Macaca fascicularis: one gene and its partner. The protein of the gene in region 2 binds, or shares a complex with, the protein of the main gene of each other region. Links are inferred from orthologs where the notes say so. Each region holds a gene or a part of one and is shown on either strand. Other genes may lie near its edges.

Region 1 (3,653 bases), on a different chromosome or scaffold from region 2:
AAAGGACAATTTTATATGAACATAATATAAACATTATATATGGTTGTCAAGTACTAGCAAGACACTTAAAGTCTAAGCACTGAAGAATCCTGGACTCTAGCCTCAAGACAAGACTTTAACCCCAGCTCTGCAGCTGTGGCCATGTAAATCACGTACCTTCTCTGACAGTACAGACGCTGATCCTTGCCTATTACGTAATATTTACAATCACCAAGACCATACATATGAACAAGTGTGCTGTAAATTAAAAATCATATTTTCATGCCTAATTTCTCAGTTTCAAGTCCAAAATTTCAATTCAAGAAATTTTGTTAAGCATATACCATGCACAAACCAACATCAACTTTAGTAAAAAGATGCATCAAACTTCATTTGAAATCTCTCTCTGGTCCCACCTTGCATAATAGGTCTTCCAATTGCAGGCAATAGAAATAAGCTGCAACAAGAGTTGCACACAAGAAAGTTTGAGGAAGACTTCAGCTGGTTCCCAATATAGCTGTGCTGGGCCATATTCTATCAAAAATTCCATCATTTCCACAATCTGTTCATGAGTATATGAGCATGCCTATAAGGAGAGATATACAGTATTATTATTATATATAACTCTACATCTGCCTACTACCTTCTTGAGCGCAGCTCACTGGCCAAGATATTTCATTTTACTTATTTATTTCAAGACAGGGTCTCACTTGGCCGCCCAGGCTGGAGGGCAGTGGCTTGATCATGGCTCACTGTAGCTTCAATCTCCCAGGCTCAAGCTATCCTCCTGTCTCAGCATCCCAAGTAGCTAGAACCATAGGCACATGCCACCACACCCAGCTAATTATTTTATTTTTCGTAGAGACAGGGTCTCATTTTGTTGTCCATGCTGGAGTGCAGTGGCACGATCATAGCTCACTGCAGCCCTGAACTCCTAGACTCAAGTGATCCTCCCACCTCAGCCTCCTGAAGTGCTGGAATTACAGACATGAGCCACCATGCTTGGCCAAGGTTTTAATTAAAAAGTAAATAATAATACCTTTCAAATTCCAAAATTCTTAAGTCAAAAGCCCATATGTGAAATAATGACCATATATTGATTAATCTTTTACCTTATTTATAATTAGACTCACAATATGATTTGTCCAAAAAGATAACAAGTTTCCTTTGTGCATATAAGTTATAGCTCAAGAGAAAGAAGCATCATGTGACTGATTTCTTTTCAATTTGTGACTTTTTTTTCTTAAGACTGGGTTTCACTCTGTTGCCCAGACTGGAGTGCCATAGCCTGATCACATGCAGCCTCAAACCCTCAGACTGAAGTGATTCTTCCACCGCACCCTCCAGAGTAGCTGAGGCTACTCATGCACCACCATGCCTTTTTTTTTTTTTTTTTTTTTTTTGAGACAGTCTGTGCCCAGACTGGAGTGTAGTGGTATGATCATAGCAGTCTTGAACTCCTGGGTTCAAATGATCCTCCCACCTCTGCCCCCGAAGTAGCTAGAACTATAGATGCACACCACAGGGCCCAGCCAATTTTTAAAACTTTTGTAAAGACAGGGTCTCACTATTGTTGCCCAGGCTGGTCTCAAACTACTGGCCTCAAGAAATCAGTTGGTGATTTTTTAAAAAACATGCAGCTACTCATCTATATCCCAAAACATATCAAACTCCACAATGATAGAGAAGTAGAGTTACAAACACATTTTCAGAAAAGAAATTCTGCATAGAAGGCAAATCATCTAGTACTTTTCATACAAAATAGTTCTTTGCCAGGTACAGTGGCTCACACCTATAATTCTAGCACTTTGAGAGGTCGAGGTGGGAGGCCTCTTTGAGCCCAGGAGTTCAAGACCAGCCAGGACAACATAGTTGCACCCCCAACTCTACAAAAAATTTAAAAATTAGCTGGGTGTGATGGTGTGTGCCTATAGTCCCCCAACTACTCAGGAGGTTGAGGTGGGAGGATCACCTGAGCCTGGGAGGTTAATGTTGCAATGAGCTGTGGTCACATCACTGCACTCCACCCTGGGCGACAGAGGGAGACTATCTCAAAAAGAAAAAAAGAAAGCTTTTTTATACACACTTCAGTTAATCTTTTAGTTCTAGAATCCCAGCAACTTACAACTGGAAGCAAAATAATTCCCTGAAATTCACCTATTACATCCATTTTTCAATTGGTTCTGCCTTCAAACAGGGAAGTATACTCCAACAATGGGCATAACACAGAGTCCACTGATCTGAATGTGAGTTTCAGGACTGAGATGCTACAGAGAGGGCTAACAGAACTTTCCCTTTCAAGACAAGGTCCTCTCACCTTGTACGGGGGTTGTGGGTGGACAAGAATGCCACCCTCAGTCCTCTGAAGTGACTGCTTCACTTGTTCCAATTTAATGGCCAGGTGAGCCTCAAAGTATTTGCGCAAGGCCATGCAGGTATGTTTCCCAGTTTGGCGGCTAGCAAATATTTCATCATCACTCAGAAGTGCACCCTGATCTTCCAAATTTAGAATCTCCAAAGTACTGATCTATTAAGATACAAAATATTGGGGTAAAAGAGGGGAAAAGGCAAGAGTTAAGAAAAAAGATTAAAAAATGGGAAAATATTTTAGTAAACTTTTTTTATTTTCCACACACATTCTGCTATGTATCAGTAAACTTTTATGCTTAACAATACTGACAAATATCAAACCATATTTATGTATATCTGTGTATATAACATGATAACAGTAGCTATATGAAAACAAAACATTAAACCCATACCGAAAAATGAACAAGCTTTTAATCACAGCAAAAAATATACAGGCATAAAACTATTGCTTTTAGAAAGATCAAGATCATCAACTGCCAATCCCCGTGATAAGATTACTATATCCAAGGCAAGTCTACAATGGCACAGTGTCCTCAAACTACTAAAGAAAAAGAGAAATTTGTGAAGGAAGGAAAAAAAAAAACAAAAAAAAAAACTTCACAGAAAGAATGGCAGCAAAACTCCTCTAACCAAAAGCTTCCTTTCTTCAAGGGTGTGCTGTTAAAGGGCAGCCAAGACAACCAGGACCCTTAATCCTAGTGAGAAAAGCACTGAAATAATCTCACCAAGTTCACCAGACGACGAAGACCATCATAGCGGTCAAAGAGCTCCAAGACGGCCCGAAATGAGAAGCAAATTGAAAAAAACATGGTAGCATGGCAGCATCCTGAAGCATGAGAACACTCCATTAACCACAGGGTATAGTTCACCACATCAGACAGAACATTGTGGGGATGCATGCAAACCTGCAAAAAAATACAAATAAAGCAATGCTTTTAAATTGTGGGCAAAGGAGCCTCGAACAGGATGAAAAATTCACCAGTATAGATATCTGCAGAATACAATGACCATTTCCAATCAAGTCACTCTTAGTACAAAGTTTAGGTTATAATACAAAGGCAATTTTAGAACACAATCCATTCCGAACCTGAAAACGACCTAAATTTAGATAAATATTTAAATACAACCTATACTTACTAAGTGCCAACAAATATTTACATTATTTACTGCTCACGAGGGCTCCATTATACAGGTATTAGGATTCTCACTTAAAAGAAGAGGAAGAGGTAAGGAACTTCTCCAATGTGATAAAAGTGGCTCAGATTTCTGATCCTAAGTCTAGGAGTTTGGTATTCATTCTCTGG
Region 2 (3,653 bases):
GGCGTATCTTTACAATTAAAGTGGGCCTGGCACAGTAGCTCATACCTGTAATCCCAGTGCTTTGGGAGGCTGAAGCGGGAGGATCACTTGAGACCGAGAGCTTAAGATCAGCCTGGCCAACAAAGCGAGACCCCATCTCTATAAAAAATAAAAAACTTAGGCATGGTAGCTAATGCCTATAGTTCCAGCTACTTAGGAGGCTGAGGTGGGAGGATTGCTTCAGCCTGGGAGGTCAAGGCCTCGGTGAGCTGTGATTGTGCCACTGCACTCCAGCCTGGATGACAGGGAGACCTTGTCTCGAAAAAAAAGAAATAGTTAGGAGCCTAGGGACCAGCTAGTATCTCCAATGTGTGAATTCAAGGTGATAGTGAAATCTCTTCATTTTAAAAAGGTTTCACGACTTCTGCCAGAGAAATTTGCAGAGCAGCTGATTCGAGTATATTGTAAGAAGATGGACAGAAAGAGTTTGTATGCCGCAAAACAACATTTTGTTCAGTGGTGCGCAGACAGAAATTTCACCAAGCCTCAGGTAGGTGGCCTGTTACTCACAAACTTTGCACAATTTTTTATTTTTAAGTAAAAACCAAAAATAATTCTATCTGCTGAAAAGTTCTCATTTAAGTTGTAGTCACTTGGTTATGGTTTTGAAAATAAGGTCTTTCACTTTCTTTCCTTTTAAAATGTCTGAATCTGTGTCAGCCAGTGATTTCTTCCTACAGGAGCTGGGAATGGATACTGTTTAGCATTATTGTCCTAATAATAAAAGATAAAAATGTGAACATGTAAATAATGCTTTCTAATGTTGTTCACCAGTGGCCCTGGAAAGTTGTTCAGTGTCTCCATCTTTCAGAGGTTACCAAAGCTGAGTAGTTAACTTGTTTAACATACAATTGATAATAGACTTCATGTTTCTAAACCTGGTTACTTCTGTGTATTAGTTAACTATTTAAATGATCAAGAATGAGAGTAGAGGGAAGAGGAGCCAAGCCACAGTTGCCAACCCTGTAGAGAATGTTGTTAAAATTGTCTCTTACTGACCTACACATAGTAGGTGTCTGCGCAGACAATGTGGCCAGTTGGCATTTATTGACTGAATGAATGAATATAATTGGCAAGCAGGGAAACAGTGCTTTACTGCCTAGTCTGGAACTCTCCCTCACACCTCCCTGTGTGTCAGGTGCTAAAGGGAACAAAGTATAGGGTGAGACATGAAAACATAGCTCAGGATGTCGGTGCTTTATCAAGTGCCACACGGCATGACCCAGGCAAGATCTCTGAGGATTCAGAGAGTTGGGAGATCTCTGGGAGAAGCCTGGTGAAGGGGCGGGATCTGCTAGATCTAGAAGGCAGGGTTTTTTGGATGAGCAGCAGGGAGAATGAAGGGTATATTTGGCAATGGGAGGAGCATAAACAAAGGCATGAAGCTGGAATGAGCTGAGAGTATTTAGGGGACCATGAGGAGACCTGTCTGTCCAGGGTAGAAAATTATTTTTTTTTAATTAATTAATTCATTCATTTTTTTGGGATGGAGTCTTGCTTTGTCACCCAGGCTGCAGTGACAACTGCACTTACTGCAACCTCTGCCTCCCGGGTTCAAGCGATTCCCCTGCCTCAGCCTCCCAAGTAGGCACGTGCCACAATGCCTGGCTAAATTTTTGAATTTTAGTAGAGACAGGGTTTCATTATGTTAGCCAGGATGGTCTCGATCTCCTGACCTTGTGATCCGCCCACCTCGGCCCCCCAAAGTGCTGGGATTACAGGTGGAAGCCGCCATGCCCAGCCAGAAAATTCTTACTGTTAAGTGTGGAGAGGTTAAATGGGAAGAGTGGACTGGATTATGGAGAACCTTGGATAATTGGCTGGGAGATTCTTTTCTCCATACAGTGGGGAAGGGATCACCGAGCACATTCAAGAGTTGCCATGCTCTGTAGGATCTGCCTGAATGTGTGTCTGCTCCAACTAGAGTGAAACCCGAGGGAATAAGAGTAGAATTGTCCCTTGGCATCTGTGGGGAACTGGCTCCAGGACCCCCACAGACCCCACAGATAGAAAAATCCACGGAAGCTCAAGTCCCTTATATAAAATGGTGTAGTGATTGCATATGACCTATGCATATCCTCTTTTATACTTTAAATATCTCTAGATTACTTATAAAACCTACTACAGTGTAAATCCTATGTAAATAGTTGTTAATACTGTATTGTTTAGGGAATCATGACAAGAAGAAACTCTGTACATGCTTAGTATAGACACAGGCATCCATTTCTCCCCCCCTCACATTTTCTATCTACAGTTGGTTGAATCTGCCCATGGATGCAGAGGGTCAGCTGTATGTCTCTCCTAGGTACTGTGAAATTAAATCACTGAAACTAAATCACTGAGAACTCTAGCTGCAGGTAGACTGGAACTTGGAGAGGCTGGAAACAGAGAGTCAAGAGAGGCTATTAAAGTTTGGCTGTGTCATGGTAACTACTATAAATTTGGTACATTTACTCACTGAGTGAGTATTTTGCCATGCCCTTGTTAGGTACCTGGAATAGTACGTAAGATAGAGAGTTCCTAATAACCCATGGATCCCATTCAGGTTGGGGATAACAATCTAGTTGGGGATAATAATAATTATTAATTTTACTCCAAAAATTAATAATTATAGGGGCATGGTAAGTACTTTGGGTGTAGGGTGAGTACACAGTCTTAGAGGAGGAAAAACAAAGAGGATTTAGCTGGTCTTAGTTGGTCAGGAAAAGCTGATTTAAAGAAGGGCTTATAAACTGAGACCTGAAGGTTGAGTGAGGAGTCGTCTGGGTTAAGGGCTGGCAGCAGGAGGTGGCGGTAGGGGAGGGGTTGAGGCATAGACACCACAGGATTAATTCAGAAGATGAGAAAGAATATGGTGTATTTCAGGAAGGAGCATAGAATGTGGAGGTGTCTGGGGCTTTATGCACAGTCCTGTCAGCCAAGAGCAGTAGGGAGCATCAGCACTGAAGGGTTTTAAGCAGGAAAGTGACATATTTGTTTACATTTATAAAATTCACTAGAATTGAAATTAGAATGAGTGGAAATAAAAAAGTTGGCTATATGCATGGTGGCTCACATCTATAATCCTAGCACTTTGGGAGGCTGAGGTGGGAGGATTGTTTGAGCCTAGGAGTCTGAGGCTGCAGTGAGCTATGATCACACCACTACACTCCAGCCTGGTTGACAGAGCAAGATGCTGTCTCAAAGAAAGAAAGAAAAGAAAGAAAAGAAAAGGAAGAAAAGGAAGAAAAGGAAGGGAAGGGGAGGGGAGGGGAGGGAAGGGAAGGGAAGGGAAGGGAAAGGAAGAAGGAAAGGAAGAAGGAAGGAAGGAAAGTGGGTAGAAATAGAGATGAGGCTGGGTGCGGGGGCTCACGCCTGTAATCCCAGCACTTTGGGAGGCCGCGGTGGGTAGATCATGAGGTCAGGAGATCGAGGCCATCCTGGCTAACATGGTGAAACCCTGTCTCTACTAAAAAATACAAATTAGCCAGGCGTGGTGGCGGGCGCCTGTAGTCCCAGCTTCTTGGGAGGCTGAGGCAGGAGAATGGCGTGAACCCGGGAACCAGAGCTTGCAGTGAGCCGAGATTGCGCCACAGCACTCCAGTCTGGGCGACAGAGCAAGACTCCATCTCAGT

Evidence for each region.
Region 1: the proteins of SAMHD1 (region 2) and DCAF1 are in contact, whole or in part, in a crystal structure (PDB 4CC9), measured with the Homo sapiens proteins. The link is inferred for Macaca fascicularis from reciprocal best matches to the Homo sapiens genes SAMHD1 and DCAF1. Residues at the interface, in NP_056289.2 of Homo sapiens: Ser616, Arg617, Val618, Gln619, Lys622; in NP_001336097.1 of Homo sapiens: Asn1090, Glu1091, Asp1092, Thr1114, Gln1116, Asn1132.

What each region holds. Positions count from the first base shown.
Region 1 is NC_088376.1:114,447,011-114,450,663, forward strand, and holds part of DCAF1 (DDB1- and CUL4-associated factor 1), read right to left. Parts: intron 3,255-3,653; coding exon 3,075-3,254; intron 2,507-3,074; coding exon 2,297-2,506; intron 566-2,296; coding exon 396-565; intron 1-395. UniProt on the Homo sapiens protein: Acts both as a substrate recognition component of E3 ubiquitin-protein ligase complexes and as an atypical serine/threonine-protein kinase, playing key roles in various processes such as cell cycle, telomerase regulation and histone modification.
Region 2 is NC_088384.1:93,014,212-93,017,864, reverse strand, and holds part of SAMHD1 (deoxynucleoside triphosphate triphosphohydrolase SAMHD1), read left to right. Parts: intron 1-391; coding exon 392-529; intron 530-3,653.